2 linked regions of the Struthio camelus genome follow. Each later gene encodes a partner of the first gene's protein in a complex. Links are inferred from orthologs where the notes say so. Each region holds a gene or a part of one and is shown on either strand. Other genes may lie near its edges.

The links.
Region 2: the proteins of PDS5B (region 1) and WAPL are in contact, whole or in part, in a crystal structure (PDB 5HDT), measured with the Homo sapiens proteins. The link is inferred for Struthio camelus from reciprocal best matches to the Homo sapiens genes PDS5B and WAPL. Residues at the interface, in NP_055847.1 of Homo sapiens: Gln47, Phe88, Ala92, Pro93, Ala95, Trp137, Val138, Lys139, Ser140, Asn142, Ile143, Phe145, Glu146, Glu187, Gly188, Asp189; in NP_055860.1 of Homo sapiens: Lys7, Thr8, Tyr9, Ser10, Arg11.

What each region holds. Positions count from the first base shown.
Region 1 is NC_090942.1:198,623,354-198,638,416, reverse strand, and holds the start of PDS5B (sister chromatid cohesion protein PDS5 homolog B), read left to right. Parts: upstream 1-7,877; 5' UTR 7,878-8,006; intron 8,007-8,669; exon of another isoform or gene 8,670-8,688; intron 8,689-15,063. UniProt on the Homo sapiens protein: Regulator of sister chromatid cohesion in mitosis which may stabilize cohesin complex association with chromatin. May couple sister chromatid cohesion during mitosis to DNA replication.
Region 2 is NC_090948.1:33,732,926-33,747,502, forward strand, and holds the start of WAPL (wings apart-like protein homolog), read left to right. Parts: upstream 1-8,930; 5' UTR 8,931-9,202; coding exon 9,203-9,294; intron 9,295-10,151; exon of another isoform or gene 10,152-10,355; intron 10,356-11,962; coding exon 11,963-12,486; intron 12,487-14,577. UniProt on the Homo sapiens protein: Regulator of sister chromatid cohesion in mitosis which negatively regulates cohesin association with chromatin. Involved in both sister chromatid cohesion during interphase and sister-chromatid resolution during early stages of mitosis.

The sequences.
Region 1 (15,063 bases):
CACAATTAAGGGTTACTGTGGAATGATATTTCATCCCTTTAGATCTTGTGCTATGATCTTGTAGTCAGACCTGATGTCACAGAGGACTTTTTTCTCCTCATGACTTTTTTGAGGCTCTTTATCTTCTTTTTAATAAGATGTGCATTTGAGTTCAGTAGAACTACTCACATACTTATTCAATCATACCTGTTTCTAAAGGATGATCACCTTGGATCTTTGTTTTGCTTGTTGGTACTTTACTACATCTTGTTGGAAAAAGCGTTTCAGGAGGTTTTAGGAAATACTGTTGTATGTGGGTTTTCTTTTTTTTTTTAAATTTAAACCAGAACTTAATGTTCACCAGAATTTCTCCCAAGATAACAGTTTGAGAGAAGAACTGGCTTAGTCAGCCAACTAGGAGTATTTCTTGCCAAAAGTTTTCGGAAACATATATATGTTTAAAAACCATAATGATATGTAAATGCCAGATCAAAGTTTCAATTATAAAAATCCAATAACAATTTTGGTGAAGTCCAGGCATTGCTTATTCTGCAAGCATATCTGTAAATAGCAGCTAAAATTTAAATTAAAAATGGAAAGAGTGAGTGTAATGACTTCTGTAGACTTAAATTCAATGGGGCATTAAAAGAAGCAGCTCTAAATAGAGAGCAGATAGTGGAATGATAAAAGGAAAAGGTGTGAATAGAAGAGAAACAGCATCAGAGCAACTGAAAATATCCAACATTTCACACAGCAGAATGTATTTAAGTATTTAATGCTTAATATGCTAATCACTCTTCAAATAGGAGGAAAAGAGGTGATGAAATAAAGTGATTTAGTGCAACATGGGTAATTATTGCAATGTTGATGTCCTCACTGTTTTGCAGAATACTTGCTTATTTTTTTACCTGAAGTTACTTTTATTTGGGTACTTGAAGTTTAACAACTGAGACTCTCACCTTGCAGATGCAACTTAATGATGAAAGCACTTGTTAAATATTTTTGTCGTTCTAGCATCATTGCTGAAGAGTATTTAGGTTATGTACTCTCCTCTCTTGTGTTCCATCCTACATCTCAATTAAGGATGGAAAACATTTAAATCAATTAAAGATAACGCAAAGGAGAAACTAATTTAATTCACTGGCAAACTGAGCTAATCACCATGGAAAGAAAGGCTGCTTGCACAGACTCCCAAAATACTAATTCTCTGTCACACCTGTCAGCAAGGCATTAAGGAGAGAATAATTTTTTCCTGACTATAGCTTTTTAGATACTAGCTGCCATGAGTTATGTTAGTGTTAAGTTGTAGGTCTGCATAGTGAAAGTAGCTGGAGTGGTCGGTGGACTACTCTGGTAGTTACTGTGAGGGATGGTAGCAAGAAGATTCCATAGCATTTGATAACAAAACAGTTGTGAAGCAAGACTCAAATGAAGAAAATAAAACAAAATCCCCCCAAAAGGGGGCTTCTAACCCCCCTTGGTATTAGAAGCCTTAAAGTAAAAGCTTGTGGATTAGTGTTATCTAACATTATTTCTATCAGACAGCAAAATGATTAGATTTGTATAGCTACAGCATAAAAGTTGCACTGGCTGATAGCAAACTGAAGCACAATTGATTTTCTACTGCACTGAAGAGACAGATAGTGTTTCAGAACATTAGCAATCCTAATGATATTTCCAGTCCTCTAGTTACCATAACATGAAACAATTTTTTTTGATTCTCTCTTTCTACATGTCTCCAAAGGCTCTGATTCTCTTTAGGATCCCATCTGAAGATGGTCAGAGATAAGATAGATTTACAGCTTCTGACTCAAGAAGGTGGGTTTTGGGAAGGAGTGCTAGTTTTTATTTTAATAGAAAAGACTTCTTTTACTAGGTCATTTAATCTTACTCCTACCCTACTGTAGATATTAACTCCTATTATATTAAGAATGTAGGTAGAGTAGAACAGTAGGTAGAGAGAAGCTTCCTCCTTGTCCTTACTCTGAAAAGTAACATATCTTTTCTAGTAATTCCTTTTTTTTAATGAGCTATCACATACTACTTATCGAGTCTTTTATTAAAACACAACCACAAGACACAGATATTTGCAGTAGAGTCAGACCATTTAGCACTAATATTTAAGTGCTGCTTATTGAACTTCAAAATTAATACTGCGCACATTAAAGTTAGTAGCTGTTTAGTATCACAATCTTACTCAGCTTTTTGACTCCTGTTTTCAGGAAGACAATGCTGGAAACAGAACTCACAGACGCAGTTAAAGTCCAGCAATTCCTTTCACTTTAAGTCCCAGTTTGCATGTGGCTTCCTTGCAAATTACTTAAAAGACATAAAAACTAAAATGCAATACCTAAAACCACCTAATCAGTATCCCTGGAAAAATCAGTTACAAAGTTACTCATGTTCATGATAATATCAGTCCTCTAATTCAAGCTCCAAAACCAATGAATGAGCTGCTACTTTCTGTCTCCGAGACAAATCACTACCTTTGCAAGTAGAAGATGTATACAGGCACTGTCTCCCTCTCCTAATTGACCAAAACCCCTGTTGGTGTGAAGGGCTTAGTAAATAGATGACATTTGAATTGTTTTTTTTCTAATATAATAGTTTTTGATTAAATGATTCAAGTAAGCATCATAATTAAAAGAGAAGCAAATCAAACAACAAAAAGGAAAGGTGTCTGTACCTATGCTGGAAACAAATGTATCCTTACTGCAAACCTGATACATTCAGAAAGAGAAGCCAGACAAGAAAGGTGAAAAATGGATACAAAGACCATTTGATTACTCTTTTGATGTTTATTTTTAAATTTAAATTCTGCTTTTATTTTCTCTAAACTATTGATAAAGGAAACAAAAGACAATTTCAGTTTTTACTCCCTCCAGTCAATTTGTTCTCCAACTCTGCTTGGGAAGGGTGCTGTTAGGCAATTTTAATATTTAGCTATGGTGAATCAGTAGGGATTGCAGAGGTCTATAATGCTGAGTTATTATAGGACCCAGCTTCCTTCCTAGCATATTCCTTCATTCCACAGTGCAATGGTTTGAAAGTTTACGTCATTTCTCACCTGTCAGCTTTCCTCCCAAGCACCCTATCTGTTCAGTCTTATGAGATATATCTCATTAGCTTTTATTTAAATAAAGGTATGACTGGTAAAGTAAGAATGATAGCATATGTTCTGAAATATCCTGAAGGTTAGGTACTTTTTCATGTACTACTCTGGTTCAAGTACATAGCTTAAAAACAGCCCATTTGAGATAGATTGCAAAGGCTGTGAGGGGAAAAAAGGTAAAATCATGCCAAAGTAGTGGAAATAAATTTTTATTTTTTCTGTTGTGTTATATATTTTATAAAGTGCTGGAGATGGCTAAGATTTATAGAAAAAGCAATAATATATAACAGAATAAAGACAGCCTGTCCCCTGGATTCTGCTTTTTCCATGGAACACTCTTTTTGGAAGTGATTTCAGTAAGGAGACTATGGGGTTTGCTGCACTGGAGTTGAGATCTTCTTCTGTGTCAGAGTAGCTTAAAGGACCTAATCCTTTAAGCTAGATGGGAGAAAAAATGGAATGGCAAAGTTATCACTCTTGGTATTCAGAAGGGGATTTGAGGTGTTAAATTCAGAAGACAAATGAAAGCGCTGGTATACATGGAGGGACTAAAAGGCGAAAGATGTACAGAGATTTGCACTTGCAAATGGCTCAGGGTTACTATAATAAGGAAGGAGACTCAGTGAAAATGTTTAGTCAGTCTTCTGATGGTGATATTACCTTGACAGTTGGAGAAAAGTCAGCAATGTGGTCTCCCAGAGATGTTTGGGTTTGCTGCTATTGTTTTAAGATGTTGTTTTATTCAGTATCTTTGTCAATGACCTGGAAAAGGGAGTGCATATTGAATGATACTTGGATGATGTTAAGCTCTTCTGGGTAATCAACTGTGGTGCGAGTGGCAAGAACTCCAGAAAGCCTCACAAAACTGAATGGATAGAAAAATGGCAGGTGGGCTTTGAGGTAGATTAATGTGAGGTAAAACATAGGATTATCTGCCAATCCTGGATATTTAAACTCAGAAAAAATCTTGAAGGTATTGTTAACAAGCCCTCTGAAATCTTTGGCTCAAAGTGCAGCAGCAGCTGAAGAAGCCAACGAAAAGTTAGGTGTCATCAGAAAGAGCAGAGACCAAGAGGGAGGGCAGCATGCTACTATGGGAAGCCTTGATGTACCCTTATCTGAAGTGAGTACAGTGTGCAGTTCTGGGCTGCAAGGGCACAGCAAATTTCAAGAAGGTATGGAGAAGGATAACTAAAATGATCAAGGGGGTAGATTGGCTGTCTTAGGAGGAGAGATCAAAGGGGTTAGGACTCTGACTGCGACAGGGCAAGGATGGGAGGCGTAGGGTCAAATTTTACAGATCAGGAAGGCACTGGATAAGGTGAATGCAGAACTGTTGCATGAAGAATACTAGAACTGGGGGCTATTTGCTGTTCTGGAATCTGCTGCCAAAGGAGGCTATGAAAATATACACTATCAGCAGGTTCAAAAGGGGACTAGACAAACCAATGGACAACAGGTCCATAAAATGGATTCTAAATGGAATAGGCAGGGATACCCCTGTTTGTACATCTTGTACAAACCAGAGATGTCAACATGCCTATTACAGCAATTGTGGATGCTGGGAGTGTACAATGCACAGAAAGTAAGCAGGTCTCCTTCAGTAGTATCTCCTTTTGCTATTGTTCTTGTTTATACAGATAAAAGCATAAATGCAATCTCCTAGTGCGACAAATTATGCTTTCAAGTTTTCTGCATTTGGGGAAATTGCATACCTTGCACTTGCAGGGTATGAGTCTCACTTGGGGAAAATGACATTTCAGATCATGGTGCAGCTGAAAACCAGGCTAGACGGACTACTGGTGTGTCTCAGAAGGGCATTTTCCGTCTTGAGGAGGTTCTGTGTATTACTCTGGCTAAGGTAAAGAGCTGCCTTTCATTGTACTCTGCTATTTTTGCACCATGTTTTTGCAGATAGAAAGCTGAGATACAGGCACTTCTATGAGGAGAGTACTGTTTTCTAGGATGTTCTTTGGGATGTTCATTGTCCCTTAAACGTAGGGCGATGTGAACACTGTCTTCACGAAATTCTGTGTAAAAGTTTTGGTCTTCATAATCTGGCTTTCTCTGTATGACATACTCAGCAAAACATTATTCAATTGTGTGTACATATTGTGAGTCTTCCATAAGATTATACACATTATTGATAAGTAACATCATACATTTATCATTTCTTTTGCCTGTATTTCTAGAAGGGGGCAAAACTAGTAAAATGAGTCTGCTTACGGTCGTCCAGTGCCCTGTGAGATGTGATGTTTCTTGGGGGAGGCACTGAGTCCACCTTCAGGAACCTGCTTCTATAGATTACACAGGGTAGTTCTTTTTAGGACTGGATCAGAAAGGCGCTGGCTGCTTGCTGTTCCCTCCCTAACCTAGAATTTAGGTCCCCACACAGCAGCATTAAAACTTCCCAAAGTATTTTCTGAAGAAACTCCGGTGAAACGCGTATGACTAAGTCAACAAATGACTGTTGAGAAGGTGGTATTTCGGCTCTCCGGTTACAGACGGGGCTGACGCGCGGGGTAGCGGCGGCTCCCTGCTGCCTCCTGCAGCCTCGCGCCGGCGTCGGCCGTTGGGCGCCCCCTCAGCGCTCCAACGGCCGCCAGCAACGGCCACTCGGGCGGCCGCCATGGGGGGCGCGCGGCACTCCTCAAACGGCGGCCACCGCCACGCTTTGCGCCCCTCCGCGCGAACCGGAGGGGGATCTCTGGTAACGCTTCAGGAGGGCAGTTTGAAGTTTAGCAACGGATTTCTTCTCACGAAGAGAAGCGCTGTCGGAAGGGCTCCCTCGTGAGGGTTAGGAACGCTATTACCGCTGAGCTGCAGAGAGCCAAACGCCATTAATCCCTGTAGTAAGCATCTTGGGGATGTTTGTGCTGTATTTTAACTATCTCACAATTAAGAGGGGGTGGAGAAACGGAGGAATACCTCAGAAAGTTGACCTCTGAAATCTTAGAGTCTAACTCCAGGCAAGAAATGAAGGCCAGACGGTAAATGGGGGGCTGGCCTCCCGTTGCCCTGCTACCAAGGCACTTCACCTTATTTCACTTTCAAATCATTCCTAGGCATCCTGATATGAGGTGAAAGTGTGAAGTGCTACTGTAGCCTGTTCTAGCAGGAAAAGGGAGCAAAAGATAAACATATTTGCAAACAGAGTATGGCAACACAATAGTTACTTTCACATTATACACATGGTTTTGCAACTTCAATAGCTGTATGAATATTCAGCTTGTCTACTGTTTTGTATATATCACTGTACGCATGTGCAAGTGCTCCATTAAAAAAAGAGATGTGTTCCATAACTTAAGAGCTGATATCTAGATAAGCCAGCACAATGGGAGGATTGCAGAGAAATTGTTCAACTTATGTGAAAAAATTATATCCTTGACTGCAAGTGCAGGATGCTTCCCAGTGATAATCAGTAATATAAAATTGCCAGACAAAATATTTTCTTTTTTGTGCCTGTGCAGTAGTATGTTCATTTTCCAGAAGAGTAGGACAAATAGTTCACTCTCAGAAATGTAAACAAGGGTAGTTTTGGGCCTGAAAAGTCATTTCTATGTAATAGTTTTTGCATTTTTATCTTGATAGGACTGATGTAGATTTGGTTAGAAGATGAGGATGTTTAACTGAGTTTAAAATTTGGATGAAAGTGAAGCAAGCTGTTTTAAATGTGTTAGCAGAAAGCTTGAGGAATTTATTTAAAGATTTAAAATATTAGCCAAGATGTTATAACTAACACACACTTTAAAAGATGATTGTATCCCACTGTAGACAAAGCCTTGAAAGTATTTCAGCAGATCTGCTGACTAGGACTTTCACATCTTTTAAATCATAACACTTTGGACACATCTATTGTCTTCAGACATCTCATTCGTAAATGTAGCATTTTCTATGTAGCAATGAGATTAAATTACATCACTTTTCTGTTCTTATTTTCCTGTCAGAATACCCCCTGAAACTCTTGCACTCACTGAAGTGCAACCAAAGGGTTTGATGAGCAATTGCTCATCAACTTTTTTTCTGCTTTCTCCACAGCTGAGCATCTTTATTCCTCATTGTTTTATAACAAGCATTTTATAATTCATATTGTCTTGGGGAAGTATTTATTTCATTAATTTGCACAGCAGAACAGCAAATCTACCACAGTTCATCTGTCAACTGATTGCACAGTCCTCTCTGGATTTGGGCCATTTGCTGCATCTCCTGTGCACGGTCTTTGATTTCTGAAACTGTTGGCAGTTTATACTGCTAGGATTGCTGAAGTAAGGTCGTCTGCTTGCCTGCAAACCTCGTGTTAGTTTTTCTAAGTCTCTTTTCTCGCTTTAAGCCATGATTCACAGTGGCGTGTAACTACTGAACGTCTTCCGGGGAGGTAGGGTTCGTCGCCGCTTCCCTTGCTGGAAAGTGAGGGAGGGCTGTATTGGGCCCCGGGGCACGGGTATGCATGGAGGGGGGTGGCGGCCGTGGCTCGCTTTCTCCCCTCGCCTGGAAGCGGTGCTTGGGGTCCTAGCCCGCGGCGCCAGGGCAGCGGGTGTCCCTGAGTGGCGTTGGGGCGCCGCGGGCCGGCTCGGCGCGGCGGCCGGACGCCGTTTCGCGGAGTTTCGCCGCGGGCCGTGTGACCGGCGGTCCCGGCGCGTGCCCGCGCCGGCGCGGCGCCGCGCGGGCCGGCAGGGGGCGCTGCTGTCCCGCACTGGCCTCGCTCGCTTCCCTCGGCGGTTCCATTGGAGCAGCCGGAGACGAGTTGGCGCCATTTTGAAGCCGACAGGGGGACCGGGGCGAGCTGCGGAAGGGGAGGGGGTTAGAGGCGATTGGCTGCGGCTACGGCGGCAGCTCCTCTCCGAGCCCAGAGCAGCGGCAGCGCGGAGCGGACCCGCCTGGGACCAGCGAGGCGAGGCGAGGCGGCTGCAGTGGGGTAAGGAGCACGGCAGCTCGGCCGCGGTTACCCCCCCCCCCCCGTCCACCGCTCCTCGGCGGGGGCGGGGGGCGCCAGCTCGGACCGAGCTCCGCGGCCAGCGCTTGAGGAAGAGGAGAAGCGCGGGGTGAGGGGGGGAGCTCTCCCCGTGGCCCGGGACTTGAGCCCCCTCCCATCCCCCCCACCCCTTCGCGGGGCTGCTCCCCTCCCCCCTTTCCCGGGGCTGGCGTCGCAAATTAAATTTGCCGCCCCCCTCCGCGCCCGCGGAGAGGCCCCGCGAGGGGGTGACCTTGGCTGGGGTGTGCTGTGCCCCCAGCTCGGCGCTGTGGTCTGGGGGTCACCCCCCCCCCCCCAGTGGCCGGGGCGCTCGCGGCTGTCCGGCGGGCGGCGTCGCGCGCTCAGCGCCCGTGGCTCCTGGCGGGGGGGGTAGTGGCGGGCGGGGGGAGGGAGGCTGTTCTCCAGCGCTGGTGATCGCGGCTCCAGCGGGTGTCCCCTCCCTGCCCCGTGCAGCTGGCCTAGCCCCGCTCGGGCTGCACCCAGGGCTCCCGCCGCCGCCTCGCGCCGCTGCCCGGGCTTGGCCAAAGACCCCCCCCCCCCCACCGCCGTTTCGTTCTCTCCCCGCTCTGCACTTAGCAGTGATCCTCGGCCGGGAAGAGGTGGGGACCGGGAGGACCTCGGTTCGGTGAGTCCCCACTTGCTGCGAGCTCGTTTCATTCAGGCTGATTTTTTTTTTTTTAATTCTTTGCATCAGGCTCTGTTAGAAGGCACCCGCGAAGGAAAGACGGGGGGGAGTAGGGACTGCCTTTTAGACGAAGGACTATGAATTTTACATCTAAATTGCCAGATGAAGAGTGGTTAATTTATAGGTTTTGTATTGTTTACGTTGAGAGCCTCTGGTCAGGAATCTAGGTCTGTAACTTCATCCCGCTGCAAATAAATCACTATCTATTTTTCAAAACAAATCAACAATTAATGATGGTGAGCAATGCTGGAAAATTAAACTGCAGCAGACCAGCTCCTACAGAGCTGGGTTTTGTTGTGCAAGCCTTATTCTGACTTGCATGTTTGACTCCTGAGCGGTTACTTACGGAGAACTCTGATCATTTGGTTAGGCATTCTATTTTCCGACCTAACACAACTGCTGAAATGTTTTTATGTTGGTCTTTGTTTTGCGTTTGATGGGTAGGTGCTTTGGCTGTAATTGACTTCTCTTTGCTGACGATGGCATAGATGAAATGCTTAAAAAGTGAGCGCCTGTATAGTTAAAAATGGGTGTCAAAGCCTGTGTTTTAGGAGGGAGGTAAGGTGACGTGCATGCCTTCAGGTTTTTTCCTTCCAAACCAGTGGAATTCTTCTATTTTTCTGTATTTCTGATAGAAATTCTACTCAGCGCATTTTCTGTGTAATATAGATACGCTATAAATATTGTATGTGCTTGTACAAAGTAATACTTCAGAAAGACATGAAACAGCTGAATTTACCTTATGCTCAGAGTATTCTAAAAGAAACTGAGAGTGATGAACGTGATACATACACCTCACTTAAATTATCTTTATCTGATTGTCTATCACTTACATCACTAGTGCACGCTTTCAGGAGAAAGTAGTTTAGTACTTGCGTGACATCTTGTGTTTGTGTTTGAAGTAAGGCTGTACTTTATTATGGTGAGGGTGTTTTTTGGTTTTTGGCTTTTTTTTTAGTTCTTATTGTACAACTGTAATTGCCTGTGTGTCTCTTGCGTTCTCTTCACTATTTATTGGACAGACTGGATAACTGTTTTGGCAAAAACTAAACTACAGTTTAGTTATTGTAAAAAGTAAATCAAATTCAAATGGAAAATCATATGTATGTAACATTTGTATGCTAACATCTTTTTATCTTGTGTGCCATATAAATATTACTTTAAGAATGTGTCTAGCAAGCTTACATATAGAGTTAAATTGAGCAAGTCGACTAAATTCTTATTAAGCTGTAATTAAAAATACAAGAAACACCGGTAGTTGATAGTATTTGGAAAGAGTATAGTATTAAAACATGAGCATGACCTCAGGCGTTATCCATTTTTGGCTGTAGAACAGGACGCTGTGCTCCCTTCCATAGAGCAAAAGAGATGCTTTTTCTGTTGGGATACATTGCTCCATCAGGATCTCAGGTTATGTTTTTTCTTTATTCTCTCTGATTCTTTCTTTGCTCACACAATTTGAGCCCATACAAAAGAGTAAAAGGTTGTATGGTCATATGTAGGAGTCATGTAGTAAAGGTTCTTCATTTATAGGTTTTGGACTAAATGTTTTCTTTAAGGCTAAGTTTTGAAGAGATGGTACAGGCTACTTGTTGCACAAGGAGAATTTCAGGGGAGCAGTGTCTAAGAAAACGTGAAGATGGATGATAAAAGTGTGCCAAGTAGGGAATGGAGGAAAGTAAGATACAAATGGAGCGAAACTGATACGGAAAAATAACAAATTCTAATGTCCCTTTTCCTACCTTTCTTTAATATTATTTTGCCCAAATGCTTACCTTCTACTTTCTTGATATAGTCTCCACCTCCCTCCTTCCCCCTCTCCCCCCCCCAGCACTTCCTTAATAAGTTTCCTTATTAGAACAAAAAGGTAGTTCTGGTACTGACAACTGGTAAGATTGTGTATCATACTTCTTTCAGTAAGTTTCTAAAGTAGTGGTGTTTGTACCCTGAACACAGAATCTTATTATTGTAACCTGAAATAGGCTTTGGAAAGACTGACAAAATCTTGAAGGCTTTCAGTCTGCTTTGGGAACTAGCTGGAAAGGGAAAACTGAGGAAACTCATTGCTTTTTTTTTTTTTTTTTTTTTAAGGGTGTTAGGCAGCGTGATCATCCTTGGTAGGAAAGTATTCATGTTGATTTACCCTGATTTGTAGTCTCATCTGGACTATAGTGGAACAGCATTGACAGATCCTGGAGGGAATCATGTGCAGACTTCTGAAGAATTGCAGAATATATGCTTTTAAAAAAATCTCTCCCTCAGAGGTTGAATATCTAAAATTGAAATTGTGCCTATATGTAGATAACATGCTAGCTGCTGTTTCATTGGTGAGGTTTTTTAATTGAATGTAGCTGCTTAGAAAATTTGATTTTCTGCTTAGTTTTGATATTTATCAAAATATATTCTTAAAGTAAAATATATCAGTAGAATTAGAGAGTTTGAATGAAAGTAAACCTTGTTATTTTAGTAAGTTAGTGGTTTATTTCAAAAACTCTTTGGAACATTTTGGATTCCACAATAAAAATACAATTATTTATATGAATAATTACTGTATTGTGTCTAACTTGAAACAATTTCATGGAATGTGACTAATATTTTAACATTTTGATTTTTAAAAAGAAACTAATGCTTCAACTATTTTCAAAGATTATTACTATCTGTCCCTCCTTCTCTGCCTATACTGCTTTTTAACCTTCTCTAAAATATGATGAAATATATAGTCCTTGAAGTAGGTTCTGAAGATTAAGTCCTTCAATTATTTTGTTCCTAACTATGGAATTTACTCTTTTGCATCCTATTCCAACAGTGGAAAACATTCTACAGTGTTTTCCTTTCCTTATATTGAGTGATATTGAGCTCTGTTATTTCAGCTGATGACAGCTTTGTTACTAATATACTGGAAAAGCTAATTTTGAGAAAGGAAAAGTCATACCTCACTGGGAACAGATGGATGTGTTTGTACTAATCATCTTGTCTGCCACCATTTATATGGTAGTACCTAACCAGGGATCAGGACCCCATCTGGGGCTTTCTAATTTAGGCCCTGTTTCTTTGGAATTGATTCTAGCCAATCCTAACTCTATGTACTTTTTCTCTGACTTAATCAGAAATCTTAGTAGATGCTTCTTCTGTCTAAATTAGACTCTTCATTTATGCATTTCTTAATGGAAAAAGAAATAGCGGTCAAAAATGTTATTAATTGCTCTCATAGTGTAGTCACCTAAACTACAGTTCATAGCTGTTTTAAGGAAGACAAGGTTATCATCATTCAGCTCGAGCATAATTGTTAATCATTTAGAAAGTAATTGTTGAGTGCAGTTTTCAGCTTTTGTGTGAAGATATCCATTTGTTGTCCACAACTTCTTTCAGAGCAGCCTCTCGTTCTCTCTGAGACGTCCCCAGTGTATCTACATTGTAGTTCAATTCAACATCAAGAATCAGCCTTCTGAAAGTCTTACAAAGAGAAAAAAATGACTTTGTTTAAAAAACAAAAACCTTTAACCCTTATCCGTTCTAAGTGCAAGCATATTAGTCATGAGGAAGACTTTAAAAAAAAGTCTGCATAGAAACTTTCCTTATGTAATCTTTGATTCACCTTGAATTTGACAATTCACTTTTATTAGTCCTGCTTTGCTAGACGGGTGTATGTTTTCAGTGAAGGCAATCAAATTGCTAGGAAATCTTTGGTGGTGCATAGGTTAGGATTCTGTTCTTAACCAGTAATAACTGTTCACGATTCTTTTTTGTTATGAAAAGTGGGCAGATTACTTTGTGGAAATCTTATTTTTTTTATCCTTATGGATTTTTTTTTCTATCGATACATACTTAAAATTTGTAAAAGTTTTTCACGGGGAAAATGTACAGGGATGATGGATAGTATCGTACTTAACAGTAAACCATCTTTGGTAATTATTTTGTTGTTTGCTAGTTCAGTATGAAGCATTGTACATAGTTCAATATGACTTCCTGTACATAGAAACAAAGAGATGCTACAAAAGATTAGTCTCTTCAATATGCTCTGTGGAAATTCTTGTGTAGGATGGTGTCTGTGTGCATTCAGTGTGCCACTTGTATCTTTTAAAGGTCTAAAGGAGGCGAACTGTGGACCCCTAGCTCATGGTATATAATATTCTTTACTTTGGATTTTCTACTTTGTGGAGTAGAAACTAGTAAGAATGAGGTTATAACACTTTACTTTTCTGGTTTTTGGAAATGGACGAAAGAGTACGTAAGTGCAATAATGCATTCTTAATATCAATAATGGAGTTTTTCAGAGGTAGCAGATAGGAGATGTTTCCTTTTTGTTTGCGCAGCTGAGATTAAGCAGTACATAATAACTCTAGGAAGCATTTTTGTAATTGAGGGTATTAACAATTGTGAAATTTGTGTTTGTATGTAGTTATCTGAAAGAAATATTCTAGTGTTCATTTTTGAATATTGGTGTATTTTGTGCTTTGAGAACTCAAAGCACTGTGAACATCTTCCCCAAGTTACAAATGTTGCTTGTAGTTAATTCTCCGCAGGGGCTTTCTTACAGTGTTGTAAAAGAGTAACTTTAGAGTAACTTTTTATTTCTGAATGGATCATTGCCTGCATCTTCTTCTATTTTATATAAGCAGATGCATTAAAACTACTCAAATTCCTAATTTTTGAAAGACTTAGTAAACATTATTTTAGTTAATTCCTGTCCCCCTCCTATGTATATGTTAGGGTAGTCTTTAGTTATGGTTTATAGAAAACTTTTTCATCTTCCTTTATTTAAGAGTTAGAACTGCATATTCAAGACGGCTGTCATATGTTCCTGAAGCTGGAAAACGTGAAATGAATTAACAGGGAGCTGTGGGAAGGGAAATCATGTCTTATTATTTGGGTGATTAAATGTCACTTTGAAATACTGGAATTTGTTCTTTCTATCAGTTTCTAGTGATGCCAGATAAGTCTGCTTAAACCAACTTTTCACAAGTGTTCATTAGCAGTGGGCTGATTTCTTGGGTGACAGGCTATAGACCCTGACTTCTCTTTTGCGTGGCTTAATAGAGGCTCTGTTTTCAGACATAGTGTGATAATATGGAGTGTTTTGAAGTTGTGCCCTAAATTTCTCTAATTGTGCAGCCAAAACTGGTGGATGTTTTTTAAACTTCAATCTGTTACTCAAGTTAGTCATCTGTGAAATGGGAATAATACCTACTTCATGGAAATGTTATGTAAGTAAGCTAATTTTTATGGCACACTAACGTACTCTAGTTATGAGTCCTGTACAGAATCCCATTAGGAATAAAGTCTTGTAAGAGGAGGGTTTAAATAGCGTGTAACGTGGGATGCACGTTAAATGACAGGAAGAAAAATTGAGTAGTTACTCCTTAAGTGGATCATATTCTTAATGCTGAATGAGACAAAAGTCCTGTGGTGGAAAAAAGTAGTGAAGGATCAGTTAAATCAACTCGTTTGTATTTATTATATTTAAAATTGTATAAGAAATCTTTCTTCCGATGTTTCCTAACTTTAAACAACTGTTTTTGCAACTATACTGTTGTTTTAACATACATTTGCTGTTCTTTTTTTAAGGAAACTTGGTAGACAAATTCATTGTATGGATGTGCTCCTGTGAGTCATTAGGTTGTAACCTTTAGCTACATGTAGCTACTACTAATTAGATTAATGGAATGCTATTAGTAGCAGTAAGTTATTACTCTCTGCTAACCAGCATTAATTGGGATGATATAGGGGCACTTTTCAGTGGATTCTTGCAAATATTCATTATTGGTAGAAGAGTAGTGTAATTAATATGATGATTCTATACGATTTCTGGCCCAGTACAGGCCCTGGGAAGGATTGAATTCTAGTGGATGTGTACTTTTTGTTCCCTGCAGCTGACCTTTCTGCTTTGGCCTTTCTCTACTGACCTCTCTGATTAGTTGGTCCTGATATCTGTTCAGGCTTCCGATTTTGATCCTTCATTGCTGAAGAAATCCTAGTCCTTCTCTCACCTTGCTCAGTGATTCTTAGACTTCCTACCTGGACGTTCTTGAACCATGTGTCCCGTCCCTTGCCGCCCTTTTGGTTCTCAATTGAATGCTATCCCCACAACCCCCTAAACTCTCTTTTCCAGTTGTCTAATAATGCTTGTTGGTCCCTACAGCTGTGTTGGCAGAAATAAATATGTGTCTGTGTGTCAGTTGTTTCTATGCTAAACTGAGCTTTTTGACTTACAGAGTTTAATGTAGGTGTCTGAGCTAAGAATCTGGCTGAGGTAAGGGCAGTTCCAGCGTTTTCTGCTAAAGGAGCAGTAACTGTGAGTAGACAGGTGGATTAGCG
Region 2 (14,577 bases), on another chromosome or scaffold:
ACCTCAGAACAAAGCCCTCAATTACAAATGTTCTTAAATGCTCATGCAGATAAACTGAAACAGCTGATATAGTCTCTCCATCTACCATCAGGACACGCTAACTCTAAGGTGCCACACAGAGTGTAAGCACTGCTTTTGCTCATTGAGTTGATATTGCATGTGCCCGCTGCTGTGTCTCTGAATGCATGTCATGCCTATTTACACCCATTCTGTGGAGCAGCCCTGTAACAAATATATAAAGCCTTGAAAGATGGTTTGTTTTTTGTTTTGGAATTGTAGGGAATAACTTGAAAGATGCACAGGAGTATTTCCACTTTCTAAACAGAATGTCTCAAGTACCTGAGAAGGAAATAAAGGCAACCAAGAGAGCCATATTGGTAGCCATAAATTAGGCTGGCTTGGTTGCGTTATCTGATCAGAAAAACCTGTAGAAATGTAAAAACTATACATATTTCCACCATATTACAGAGAGCTACTCCTTTTAATCTTTGCTCAAAGGCTGTTGGGAAAACCTTATTTGAATCATGTTCCTGGAGATGGGAAAGGATGGCACATCTATTCCTTCTGTTTTGCCTTTTAAATAAGATCTTCCAGGAGCCTTCTAGACCTCATCATCAGCTTTCCCAGTAACAGGATGAGAAAGCTGAGTTTTATGTTACCTAGCAGAAGAGGAAGACACAGAACAGAAGCTGGAAAAAATGACTCCCAACTATCTTTTAGTGGAAATATTGGCATTTATTCTTTCATAAATGCTGTCAGTTCATTGTTGAGCAATGCTTCTGTGAACTATAAGACTAGTACTTCTGTGTCAAAACAGTGTAGCAAGACACAGAGCAGGCATCTGTCAGAAGCAAAAACACAATCTTTGCCCATTGTGCTATTGGGGATGAGACTTAAACTTTTGGAATCTATGCAAAAACGTATGCAATTGAGAGCAAGTGAAAAGGTATTAAATTCACTTTTTACTGTGTTAATGAAATGCTTAAGGAAATAGTTGGAGACGTGTCGTGGTGTACTCCAGTAAGCCAGAAATGCATGGGATGTTCTAATTTATGGCTACCAATGGCTTAATCTATGACTTGACGATATCCTCAGAGTGATAACAATGCAGGTCCATGTAGTTAACAATCAGATGGCATCAAAATACTATTTTGAAGAAGAAATTAAAAAAAAAAAAAAATCATCAGCTGTAACACCAATGATTTGTGGCTTGAGCTGCCAGAACAACCGTTAGTTAGGGCAGGTGCATGAGTTAATGCTTCTACATTTTCCAGAAATGTTTGGTAACTTCATTACTTACCAGTAGGTGTCACTGGAGTCCAGCAGAGAACTATTATTATTTTAGAATGTTCCATTTCTACTTAATCAAACCTTTATTTCACAGAGAAGCATTTGGTATTTACATGTGTTGACATGCATCCAGTAAAAACAAAGGACTGAAACCAATGATCTTTCAAATAAGTTTTTTTCCTCTCTCAGCTACTGATAACTGTCAGTGGATAACCCTGTGGATTGGGAGAGAACTCTGAAACTTTTTTCCTCTGCAAGATGCCTGAATTTGGTCCAAGGTGCTATTGACCAAAGTGATTATCTGATGGAAAGGTGAAGCCGGTTAGGCAGTGCCTCTGTGGTTACTGAGCCTTTGCGCCATCGGTGGGGGAGGACAGGGGGAAATCAAGCCAAAAAACCCAAATCTTCAAGTTCGTTGTCACCTGCACTGACATTTACAACAGAGTCTGGGAACTGAATGGGACGGAAAGGACGCCTACTGTCAGCCACAAAGCAGCTCTCGTCAAGTCTGAGAAACTTCTCACTTTTCCACTTTTCAGGTGGAAAAGCTAGCAGAAGCCCCACTGTTAAGATCTGTGTACACCTACCTCTAGAAATAAGCAATATGCTCCTACTCCGATGCTAATGTTTGTTTTTCTCCATTCTCAGAAGTAAATTCCAATAAATGTAAATAGTAGGAAACATCAGAAGTAATTTGTATGATCTATAACCTATGTCCTTAATTTTATGCAGGAATACTTTATTACATAGATCTTTCTCTGAAGATCTGGGTCTCACATCCTAGACCTTGTATTACAAGAAATGGAGCACAGGGCTGAATGAGATTGCTGAGGGTTGAGCTGAAGAAGAGTATGAAGTGATTTTTCTCTTGTTTTAATGAGCTGTAGTGCTTTGCTGCCATGTGGTTGCTAGACGGGTGATCAGCGAAGGTATTTTGTTTGTAATATGCTCTCAGGTATTTGCTGTCTGGAAGGCACAAACTAGCACCAAACAGATTCCTATGGCTACTAAGTATTTTCTAACCATTTGACATCATACATCAAAAGACAGAAAGAAAAGAAGAGTTAGATTTTGTTTTCCCCAGTTATTAAATAGACATGGTAAAAGGCTTATTTTTCATGAAGACCTCCGAGGAGGCATTTGAGTTAGCTAAAGCAGTCTTACTTTAAGCCTAAGCTCTTGTATCAGTACGTTCTTCCAACGTCTTTCAAACGTTTACCAAGGAATGACTGGGATGCACAGAACAGTAAACATTTATCTCAGAAATTCAAGATCACACATCCACTAGAAAACTTAGAGCGTAAGGAGGCCATTGCAGGCCAATATATTAGGGTAATAATCTGCTTTTGGACAGTAAATGCACTGCCTGTTCTGTAGTCTTTGAATGTCTCTTGATCCAGTAATGAGTCATTGCTTGATATATCTAAAGAACTAATCAATATGCAGGTTATTTTTTTTTTAGCCTTTTGTTATCTTCTTCAAATATAATTCTGAAATACTCTGTCAGCACTCATTAACGTGCACTTCCGTTGCATGCAGTAGGATGATCTTTGACCGTTACCCAGAGCATGGTAACTTTGTACGTAGGGAACCTTGTTAAATGCAGACAGGACTGCAGAACTGGCACAGTGTATCGGTGCTGGATGTATCAGGCTCTTATGCAAGAGGCAGGAGACATTGCAGCTTCCTTTATGGTACCGCGTGGTAATCTGAATAAAGGAGAAGTAATTTCTTTAGGGCTGTATTCTAGCAGGGAGCTAATGAAGCCCGTAACTGCTATTTTGCTACCCTCCTACCTTTTCATGAGAAAATCTTGATGCAATTTTTTTTTTTTTTTAATTTTATCAGCTTAGTTTGCTTGATAAGTACATTAATTCTCCTGTGAGGCTCAGGGAAACATCTATCCAATCCTCTTTAGTGCTGCAAGGTTTCAGCTGTTCCTGGATTTGCTTTTTTAGTTGTAGTTTACGTTGCTGCTGTTGGTATCATCACATATAACCCTTAAAAGACACGCATACTGCTCTCAGTGCAGCAGTAGCTTAGTTGTTTGACCTAACTTTTCTATGGTTCAATGTTTTGTAACTGCTGCAGAAGTGGTCAGTTACTGGCTGACTTCTACTCTTTCTAAAAAGTAGAAACAAGTACTTGGGAAACACAAAAGTGAAAACAAAAATCTTGTAAATAAAAACTCAGAAGGGGAACTGAGTGATTATAGGATCTGTGTATAAAGAGCCACACAAACTTAATAAAACGAACACTAAGAGGACAAAGGAATATAATGCTCACATATATGCCCTTTCAAACTGGTAAGGGAAGAAAAGTAGGAAAACGAACAACAGACATGGCGCTGGTCCTCTGTTGCTAGAGGAGGAGTAGAACAGGAGAATGAGAGTCCTATCAAAAGAACTCTTTATCAGAAAGAAGATTTGAAACACCAGTTGCTTGTTGCATTTTTGTGTTTTTCACTCCCCAGCAGATATTTTGTCAGACAGTGAGTTTTGGTAGCTTGTATTAAGGGCTGGCATGGTGAAGATAGACATAGATTCAGCATTCAACAATAATGTGCATCATCAAGCTCTCTAAGAAAAGTTGGGGGAGAGGGGAAGGTTGGTGTTGAATTTGGTCCTCTGATAAGGCTGCAGCAGATCTCAGGTATTCGAGAGACTCAGTCCCCTTTTATTCCGTAACAAAACAATGTGAACTTTACCTTACCAAAGAACCTAAGCTTTCTTTGCCTTGAAGGATCACTTCTAAATTAGGCTGCATCCTCACTGCAAGTGAGTTTTTCTCCTGAAACACCTTGACGTGTTGTAAATTCTTTGTGGGAAAAGGCACAGGCAGTTTATTCTCTCAGTGTAGCTTGCCGAGATAAACTCCATAGCGGAATAAAGTTCTGATCGTGACAAAGTACAAGAAGGTCGAGGCTACGTTGTGCTTTTCCCACTAGTATCTCACCACAGGTTTTTCCAGTAGACTTGCAGGCTGTTCACCTAGGGGAAAAAAATTGCACAGAACAAACACCAAGAATTTAGCCGTAGGTGAATGACTACTGTTGGTTTGTCAAGCAGAACTAGTATTTCTAGAGGCTTTTACATAACAGAGATGATGAAGCCTCTCACATGATTGCAACAGATAGGTGTACAGGCTGGAGAGAAGGTGGAGCAGCACAACTTTTTTTTCTGCTGGCTGCCTGGGGCTGATTCATTAGTGCCATGATCCAGAACCCTTTTATCAGCGAGAAGCAGCTCCTAGCTGCGCTTGTATAAGCATTCTTTTGTTTCCCTCAGTGGTGCTTGTTTTAATCTTTCCGTTATTAAACTTAATGCTGGATCTTGGCCACCTCCCATGATGAGAAAGCTACAGTATGATACAAACACTGAAAAATGTGATCCAACACTGTATCAAGCTTCCCCTTTTGGATCTTTTGGAAAGTGGTCGGTCTTCTCAGGGTTCCATGTCAGTAAATAAGCAATATTCTACTCGGGTGAAACACCTTAGTAAGAAAAGCCATTTTATTGACAAAAATCACAGTTCCTTACAAGCTGAGTTGCAAACCTCTCCCTCTCCGCTGGTGTTAAGTGCTGCTTTACGGTCCACTCTGATCCAGCTGCTGGTGTTCTCAGCACGGCGCAAGTGCATTTTTCTACCCACTCCCAGACTACCACTGGTGTTGCTGAACTTCCTCCACCTCGTATTAGCAGTGATACTAGTGTATAAATAACTATTTTCAGAGCTATTTCAGAGAGGTTGACTAAAACATGATAATTAGGTACTTAAGGCATCTATTCACCCTCCTTTCATCTTTGCTATGCAAATAGCAAGGGGAAAATTCCATCCCCCGCCAAGCGAATGGCAGAGCCCTGAGTGCTCTCACCGGGGCATGCTGGGTGACACCTCCTGAAGGACAGGAACGGGAGGAGACTGACATTTTACAAAGAAAAACCAAAACACATGAAATGTTTAACATTTTAAGTGGCACTAATTGGGACATGAAAGCTTTGCAGCAGCTGTGAATGCAGCAGGACATCCTCTTCTCCCCCATCCTTTCCCACCTGGAAGAAAGGCAAGGAAGGAAGGATTGTTGAAAGCTGGGGGGAACATGGGAAGCAAAGAGGGGCTAGGCTGAGACACAGAAGAAGAGGAAAGAGGAGAAGACAGAGAAGAGGACTGAGGGGTTAGTGGGTTTCATGATCCTGAGGAGAGAGGTCTGGATGTTAGGAATAATAGAGCCTTCCTGTGAGTTAATGTTTGCCTTTGGCAAACAGTGTTTAGCAGGGCCTGGGGGCAACGGGTTATTGAGCTCGTTCCCCTTTTATGGGAAAAGGGGGTGCAGGGAGGATGCGTTACGCTGTTAATTCAGATACTTGATATAAAGGATAGTTACTGTTCTGATTTGCATAAAAATCTGCTTGGGAGCCTAACTTTAAGTACACACAACTGTCAAATGCTAGTTTTGGCCATGAAGATAAGCCAAGCACTGAGAAAGCTTTCTGACAGCTTCTAAAAGGACGCTGCTGTCTTCATCTTTCCCCATAGTAACTGCTAACTGGGAACTCTTCCATTTTCCTACTGTGTTGCCTCCATTTTCTTCTGGAGGAAAATGTAAGTTGAAACACTTTTTAAAATCTTGTAATGGCTGCTGAAAGATTGAATCATGTAAATGGCTCCATCCTTGGCTATAACTTATTTTGAAAAGTCTGCACTGTACCCCCATAGAGATCTCAGCATAGAACTTGAGAAACAGAAGTGGGAGGGTTCATCATTATCAGGATGAGATATGTCTGAGTAACTCTTCTGTCCTTACAAGTTTCTTCTTCTGCCCTACTTTTCCCTCTTTTATCTCTAGCCTTGAAGCATTTGAGCTGTGTTTTTCAGTGCTTTCTGACTTTATTACTAGTAATGATGCTTGTTTGGGGGGGGGTATGGAATGTGATAAGAAAGCTGTAGAAGTCTGTCTGTCTGTCTTTCTATTTTAAGACAGGAAATTTGAAGACTTAAGATGGCTGCTTACCTCTCACTATTTTCTTTATGGAGGCGAACGCCAAAATGGAGTGTCCCCTCTGTATCTGTTTTTCTGTAAAGGAAGATGGCAACTATCAGTAATAGAATTCCACAAAAGGAGTAAGATGCCTGTTAAACTCCATCCTTTAGGAGAATTAAACCCACCTACTGCCAAGAGTAGGTGGGATTTGGCTTATATTTGCTCTGTCTTGGTACTTGCATATTTGAGGTAAGCCAGATAAAATAGAAATAGCGAAGATTAACATGCTGTTTGCTAACTTATTAAGGTATTTGGTATAAACATTTTCAAAAGTATCTAGAGTAAGGTAGGTGTTAGAAGAATTGGCCTGTCTCTCCTGTTCTTGAACATGACAATTTGTTAGCTTTCAAATAAGTGAAAGGTTTTATTAGCCTTACAGCCTTCTGCTAATACCAAAAAGAGGATAGTCAGCACATAAGTTAGGTTAAACTTACCCTCTGTTAGTCACGTGAAATTTAAGCGTGACCGTGATGCTGCAGTGCTTTGGATTACTGTATGTGGGGATTCCGCAGAGCGTAGAAATACTGTTGGAGAGACGAAGCTCGCCGGCAGGGGCTAGGGTACGTGAGAGCTTTCAAACAAACTACTACTAGCCAGCGACTGTCACTATCCTGCCAACTCTTCTAAACTGCTGCTGCTTAAGTGACTTGAGTAGCAGTAGCTCAAGCTCTAAAATTTCTATTTTATTTCCAAATACTCCTAGAAAGTATTCTCAAACAGCTTGTTATTAACAGTTTGTTAGCCTTATTCTGGCTATGTTCCTTATGTTTTGTGCCTCTCAGAATAGAGTTGTTTATGCTGTAATGAACTCCACAGAGCCTGACTCCTGTGCTCATTCTGAGTTGTCACAGGACTGTTTTTGGCTCTAACAGAGCAGTTAGTCACCAAATAAGATTTTTGAACTCCTGCAATAGAATGCAAAACTCAGGCTGGTTTAGACATCCATTTTACTCTTGAAGTTTAAACCAGCTAATTAGCAGCTCTGCTAAAAGAATTGTCGTGGGGGCAGGCGGGAGCTGCTCACCCATTTGTATTCAACTTGTGTATTTTAAAATGTATAACCTGTTTTTAATAGCTCTTCAATCACCGAGTCAGGTGGTTAAGATGTAAATAATCTTTTAAACCTTCCTTCAAACAGAATGAGCACCTCTATCATATTGCAAATCAAGCCTGCACTTCTCATCACGAGGCCCTGGTCTACTTTATCTTCGCTTTCTCTTTCTAGTGGCAATTGTATAGTGTCTTTTAAGGAACACGTTTGGAGAGTTTGTTCTCTAAAAATACTACCTGTCAGTACATCAATAGGTGTCAGGTAAAGGCAGAAAGTTGGTTTACTGACAGGATCATTAAACAAAACAAGACTCTGTCACGTCTACTAAAAAAACTATTGAATTTGCGTTGTGTGAAGGAAAGGGAAAAATCGAGGATAAAAGTCATGATTCTTAACTGCAAGTTCGGAGACAACCCTAAGCTCTTCCGTGCAGTGGTGTCAGCGGGTTCCCCCCCTTCTTAATTTCCAGTGTTTGGGGCCTGTATTTTAAACCCTTTCTGCAGCTGGCAGGCTTGCTAGCCGCTCGCTGAGACTGCTGTTAGGCTCCGGGGGGGGGGGGGGTGGTGGTTTCTTCAGAGGAGCGAGCAGCTCGGAAACGACCAAACTCTCGCTGTGGTGGGGGGGAGCATCGGCGCTGTGTTTGTTCCGTGCCGCGGCGGCAGCCGCACGGCCCCCCGCGCCCCGCAGGGCTCCGCGCCGCGCCCGGCCGGGCCGGAGCGACTCGCGAGCCGCCGGCGTCGGACCCCCTCCCCCACCCCGCCAACTACAACTCCCAGCAGGTGCCGCGCGGGGCGGGCGCGGCGGCGCCGGCGCGCGCGGGGCGGGCGCATGCGCGGCGGCGCGGCCGTCGGTTGAGTAAGGCGGGGTGCGATTGGCTGCGGGCGGCGGCCGGGTGCGGGACGCGCAGTGACGGAAGGAGCGGGGGGCAAATGGCGGAGAGATGGTCCCGGGGCCTGTCCCGAGCGCGGCGATAATCCCGGCGCGGAGGAAGCGGCGCCGGAGGAGGCGGCGCCGGGGGCCCTAGCGCCTGCGCCCGCCCGGGAGGCCGCCGCCGCCGCGGGGGGAGGGGCGGAGGCGGGGGAGCCCCGTCGGCGAGCGCCTGTCGCAGGCGGCGGATCGGCGGCCAGGAACCGCGGCGAGAGCCACATCCGTGGCGCCGCCGCAGCGCGCCGGGCCGCGCCGGGCCCCGCCGCCCCCGCTGACGCCGAGGTAGGTGCCGGCGCGGCTGGCGGCGGCCGCCCGAGGCCTGCGCGGGCCGCCGCGGCGGAGCAGGCCCCGGCGGGGCGGCCCCCGGCCCTCTCCCGCTTCCGGGGCGGCGGCGGCGGCGGTAGCGCCCCCCCAGCGGGGAAGGCCGGGGCGGCCGCGGCGGGACTTTGCTCGGGGGCGAAGGGCGGCCGGGCCGGGCCGGAGCCCGCGGCGGGGGGGAGCGGCCGGCGGGGCAGGCTCTGCCCTTGGCAACCGCCTCGCTGGGCCTCGGCCGCCGCGCGGGCCGGGCCGGGCCGGGCCGCGGGGGCTGCTCTGCGGCCCGGCCGGGTTTTCCTCCGCGGCGGGGGAGGGGGCCCGCGCGAAGGGAAATGACATCAGGCGCGGCCGGGCCCGCACGGCGGGGCCACCCGGTTCCGCCAGCACCCGCTGCCACCGGCACCCCCCCGCCCCCCCGCAGGGGGAGGGGAGGCAGAGAGAGAGAGAGGAGGGGAAAAAAAAAAAAGAAACTGTCACCGTGGGATTTCATCAGCTGCTCCTGCCTCCGTGCATTTAACCTATTTTCCTTTCCTTCGATTATGTAAGAGGGGTGGCGTAGCAAGGAGCAGCGAGGAAAGATGACTGATGTGCCTTCTTTACGATTGTCGGTTGTTTATGTCCGGTCGGCCTGGCAGGGTAACTCCGGAGAACACAGGCGGTTTATTTTTCGGTTTGTGCTTGTATTTATCTTTCTTGTCCTACTCCACATACTGCAGCACGAGGTGTGGAAAGGAGAGAGGCAGGGAATGGAAACAGAGTGAAATTGGCCGAGTTTATTATTTTGCCCTGAGTGAAAAAACAAGGGAGAATTGAAAGTGATTAATTAAAAAAGAAAAATCCTTTTCTGTTGATATTCTGATTTAAGGAGGTACATACGTCTGTCCTTATCTTTAATCAGACTTCAAGCTATGCGTTTATAGTATAGGGTACTTATCTTTCCCCAGACACTCATCTTTTAACCTGTTTCCATCACGTAGCATATATATATATTTGAGTATTGGCCGTTTTGTTCAAATCTTCTTTAGAGAAAGCTTTAATTTTTAATCTTGTGAATAGCACGGTCTAGAGTGTAGAGCTCTACTTACTGAAAATGAAGTACTTTTGGCTACAGAAATCTTTTTTTCAAAACTGAACAGCACAAGTCACAGTTTAAGCCTGCCATTATTTTTTGCGGATGCTGAAAGGGCAAACTGTTGGGAATATTTATTTAAGTCAGGGAGAAAAATGTGCTTGTGGTGAGCAAAATGAATTTTTCCTGATAAGAGTTACATAGAAATTCAAATGTTATTAAATAGTTCATTTTTTATAGCTGTAAAAACTGGCCTACTATGAAATATTTTGATTTCTATTACAAGTATTTTCAAGGAGCGGTGAAATAAAACTAGTAAGTTTGATTTGTTTTGCTGTTCATTTTCTAAAATATGTGGGGAGACTGTAGTTTCACTCTTGGATGGAAAATAGGAAATTAGCTAATATCAGGGGAGCAAAAACAGTAGTTTGACGGCCATGTTAGGAGTGCCGCACAGTAGACAGGTGACGCTATGGGAAGAGAGCGCTTGCTGTTTAGTTTAATTCTGAGTAGCAATGAGAAGTCCGCAGAATGGTATTTCATAGCACAGTTCTGGCCAGTACATAAGCATATGCCTTTATCATCCATCTGCTTAACTGCTGGGGAGTTGAATGTTTCCCAGCACGGTTGTTCCTGGATCTTCTGCATTGCAACACCATCTGGTTGGTAAACTTCTGAAACTTATTTTTTAGTTCACCTAGCCCCACAGATGACCCTAGGAATTGCTTGGTTGGTACCATAAGTGAAGCTTGGCCTAGTCTGATAACGGGAGACTATTATTAGTGAGACGATCTTGCTAGGCTGCAGTGATAGAATGACATTTTTGGAAAACAGTCTGGCTTTTTTGGCAGAAGTAAGTCCGGTATTTCAGGTTGAGAAACAGCGTGTATCATGATGAGAACTAAAATATGAAAGACGGACAGTACGCCACCGATTCAGGGGAATAAAAATAGTTTTTTCTAACAAATTTATAGTGTGCTCACAAGTTTATTAATGAAGATTTCAAGCCCTTTTTTTTATACTTTAATATATATGCAAAGGGTTGGCACTTTAAAAGTTGTTTCTTTAATTCTGTAGCTTAAAGGAATTTTTTTCCCTTTTTCCTAACAGTTTTTTTCTACTCTGGAGAGTACTTTCAGACAAAAGAGATGGACTTGGTTAGAGTCATATTGACTATTTAAAAAAAAAAAAATCTACTTTCCTGTTCATGTTAGGGCTGAAAAACTTAATAATAATAGTTAAAAAAAAAAAAAAAGATAGAGATTCTGGTTTGTAAAGTAGATATGTTAGCTCTATGTTCTATATTGTCATTTGTCTAGGAGTCACGGTATTTGTTTTGGCAACAAGAAACAAGCTGCTCTGTCTTCCTTCTTGAATCAAACAAAAGCAGCAATAGAACACACCAAGGGAAGTGTTTAAATGTGTTTCTGTTTAATCTGTTTATATTTAAACTTTACTCTTTTGACAGAGCAAGCTCTGAACTGGGCTACAGCTATAACAGCCAGTAAACAGTGATCATTTGTGTTTGTTTGCAGTAGGTATCCTCCATGTTCTTAGAAACGAATTTAGAAATGTCTGTTCCTGTCCGTTCACCAAATCAAGCCCAGCCATGGGGGGTTGCTGTGTACTGGTTTTGGCCATGACTGTGCAGATGGTATAAGCCACAGGGTATTACCACAAAATATGCTTACTGTGTAAGCCTGAGCTTTTAAGAAAAGCATGAGGTGAAATTGTTATTTGTGACGAATTCGTATTTAAAACATCTATATCAAGTTGGAATATTTTGACAGTCCCTTTAATTTTTAACTACGGAGAGCCTTCTTAAAATGATACTGTGTTATGGGATTCTAGCGGAGTGCTACACGTTCAGATGTGCTGAAAGTATTGTTTTGTTTTTTGCTGATGTTTCATGGAAGCAGTGCCATCTATACTAGGAGATATAAAACTAGAGCAAAGCACATACCAAAAATAATGCACTCATAGCAGATTCTTCTTACAGATTCATTGTGCAATATCTTTATTTTATAAATGTGCAAGTAACTGGATTTCAGGTTAAGTTGATGGATGTGAAACTTGTTGCAGAAAATGTTGACAGATAATGGCGTTCACCTGTGGATGAATTCAGTTAGTCTGTAGAAAGGAACTGATGATGTATCTGTTGTTAATGTGAAGCGTGAATGTCTCGTGCTCATAGGCCCAATAAAGGGTGGAATTGCAATCGTTTGTACTAAAAAGTTAGTAAAGCTGTTTCTTCTTTCTTTTCCAACAGAGAATATGAAACAGGAGCCAAAATGACATCCCGATTTGGAAAGACCTACAGCAGGAAAGGAGGAAATGGCAGTTCAAAGTTTGATGAAGTATTTTCCAACAAACGGACCACCCTTAGTACAAAATGGGGAGAAACCACCTTCATGGCCAAATTAGGACAGAAGAGGCCCAGTGTCAAACCAGATATTTCCGAAGTTCCTAAAAAACCCAAAGTTGAAGATGAGGTAACAGAGGATCCATTTGGATTTGACAGTGATGAAGAGTCTCTTCCCGTGTCTTCAAAGAATGTGTCACAGGCTAAAAGCTCCTCTCAGCTGGAACCCGGTGAAGCTGCTCAGTCTGAGGACTTCACTTCTCTACTTGAAGCTAATAGCAGAATTAATCAGCCAGACAGCGGAGAAAACATTGTGTCCAGCAAGTGCATATCTTTTGATGATACTGTTCCCAGCTTAAAAGAAAAGAGCACAAGCAAAAACGTAGAAGATGGAGAATGCAAAGGCAGCAGTGCTAAACTCGTAACTGCAGGTACATTGACCCAACTGTCTGAATAGTGTTGTTACCCTCTAGTTTTTCAGATCTACGCTGAGGATTAGTGCTTTCTGAGGTTGATTAAATATTCTAATCAAACCTTGGGGCAGCTGATTTTTCATCTCCTTTTAAACTATAAGTGCAACGAAACAATGTATGTCTTGTGTTGGTCTGGGATCCTTGGTACTCGATTCCTTATGTCTGCAAATTCAGATACGGTGCTTTAAATTCAACATAATGCGTTAGCCCACTTTGTGTAGAATGGAATAATTATCTTCCTTTTCTGACGTTTGTTCTGAGCTTTGTGCTTTCATGTCTTTTCAATATGTGGTATCATAAAAAGTGAAGGTTTGGTAATAATGGAATGTAATGTTCTTAAGATACTGACTCTAATTTAGTGTAGGTAAATGGGGATAAGGCTTGCTGCCTGCCTGCTTAATGATTTGTATGGAAAAAGTGGGTGCTCTGAATTTCTGTTGCACAGAAATATGTTATTTTTCTCAATTAGCACACTTTTTATCAATGTGTTTGTAAAAGCTTCAGACTTAGGAAGCAGAACTCTGTCAAACTTCTAATAGGGGCTGTTTTCAGGCCCCAAAGTGTCTGTTTATAGGATAACTTTCTGATTTTGAGCGAGAATGCACAAACCCCGTGGTGCTAAACATCACTCTAGTTTTGTTCAAGTCATTCTTGGATAAAGATCAGGTGCCATTATATTTCATTAGAAGTTTTTATATAATGGGCTGATTAAACTGCAACTCCTAACATTGGGCAGAAGATCACATTAGATGAATCTTGAGGAAGATAACAGCTACTGACTTGCTCTAGATTGTCACAATGGACTTTAATGAGAAGAACTTACGTAACTCTGAAGTCTGAGGTATAGCTGACTTATCCCTCGGATCAGAAATTTGAGTGGACTTGTTCACTTGTTATACAGTAGACAAGGAAGATACTGAATAGTGTGAGATTTGTGTCACGGTGTAAGAGGAACCAAAAAATGTTGATGAAACTGTAGTCTGTCAGAAACAAATGTTAGGCTACGTAGTTTTTACCCTACCCAATTTTACCCCTATTTTTGCTGCTGAAATTATTCTTATTTTTCATAGGGTTCTGCAGTTTATTTGTAAGTACTATGTGAATTCAGGCTAGAAATGAAATTTATGTTCTATTAACATAAAGTTATAAAAGTTTTCAAGAGATTCCTTCTCTGCTGTTTCATCTCCTTGTAAACAGTGATGAGTTTTGTTGGCTATTGATGAGAGAGTGCAGCAGAGGGGGTGTTAGAATGAAACGATTTCCATGTAGGAGAGCCTAGTGAGAAAGTGTTTTTCGATTTAGAAGAGAAAATATTTCGAGTCTTTTGGGGATAAAATAACTTGGGGAGGAAACGTGATTAGAGCTCTAAAAATTCCCAATGCGTAAAGGGCCAGGAGGAACTGAGTGCAGCAGTTTCGTTGCTGCTTTCTGGTTCTGGTGTTGTGGAAAAAATAAAATATTTAGAACAGGAAATACTACTTCATTTGATGCTTCTTTAAATTCTAGAACTCCTTTCAAGAAAATAATAGTTGTGCCATAAATATATATGTTCTCGAAAAAGGAAACTGATAAGTTTTGATGGATAAGTTCACCAGTGATGTTTGAATGTAAGGGTGGTCTGGATGTAGGCAAGTTACTTAAACAACAGTTTACTGAAGGAATATTGTTCTTGCCTGTGTTCTCTAAGTACTTTCTACTGATTGCGAATCCGTCAGAAATGGAATGATGGCCAAGGTGGATCTTGCCCTGATAATGCCGTTCTTTCTGAATTTCCTGTAATGAGCAGTTTGCACCTAGTCAAGTGAAGATTAAAAACCCACTTCATAATTTTGTTCTTCAGAAATCAAATTAAATAGAGACTGAATCTGCCTAACATCCCTAGAAGGGGCATTAAATAAGGGTAAGGAAACAAAGATTATGGTTTTAGCGATAGTGTTTGTTTCGGCATTTAGTGCAAGTGAAATTTGAATAGATTAGGCAGCTATTATGCTTGTAGGTAGACTTATCTGAAGTAAATAAAAATAGTCTCTGAAAGCGTCAGAGGGTATA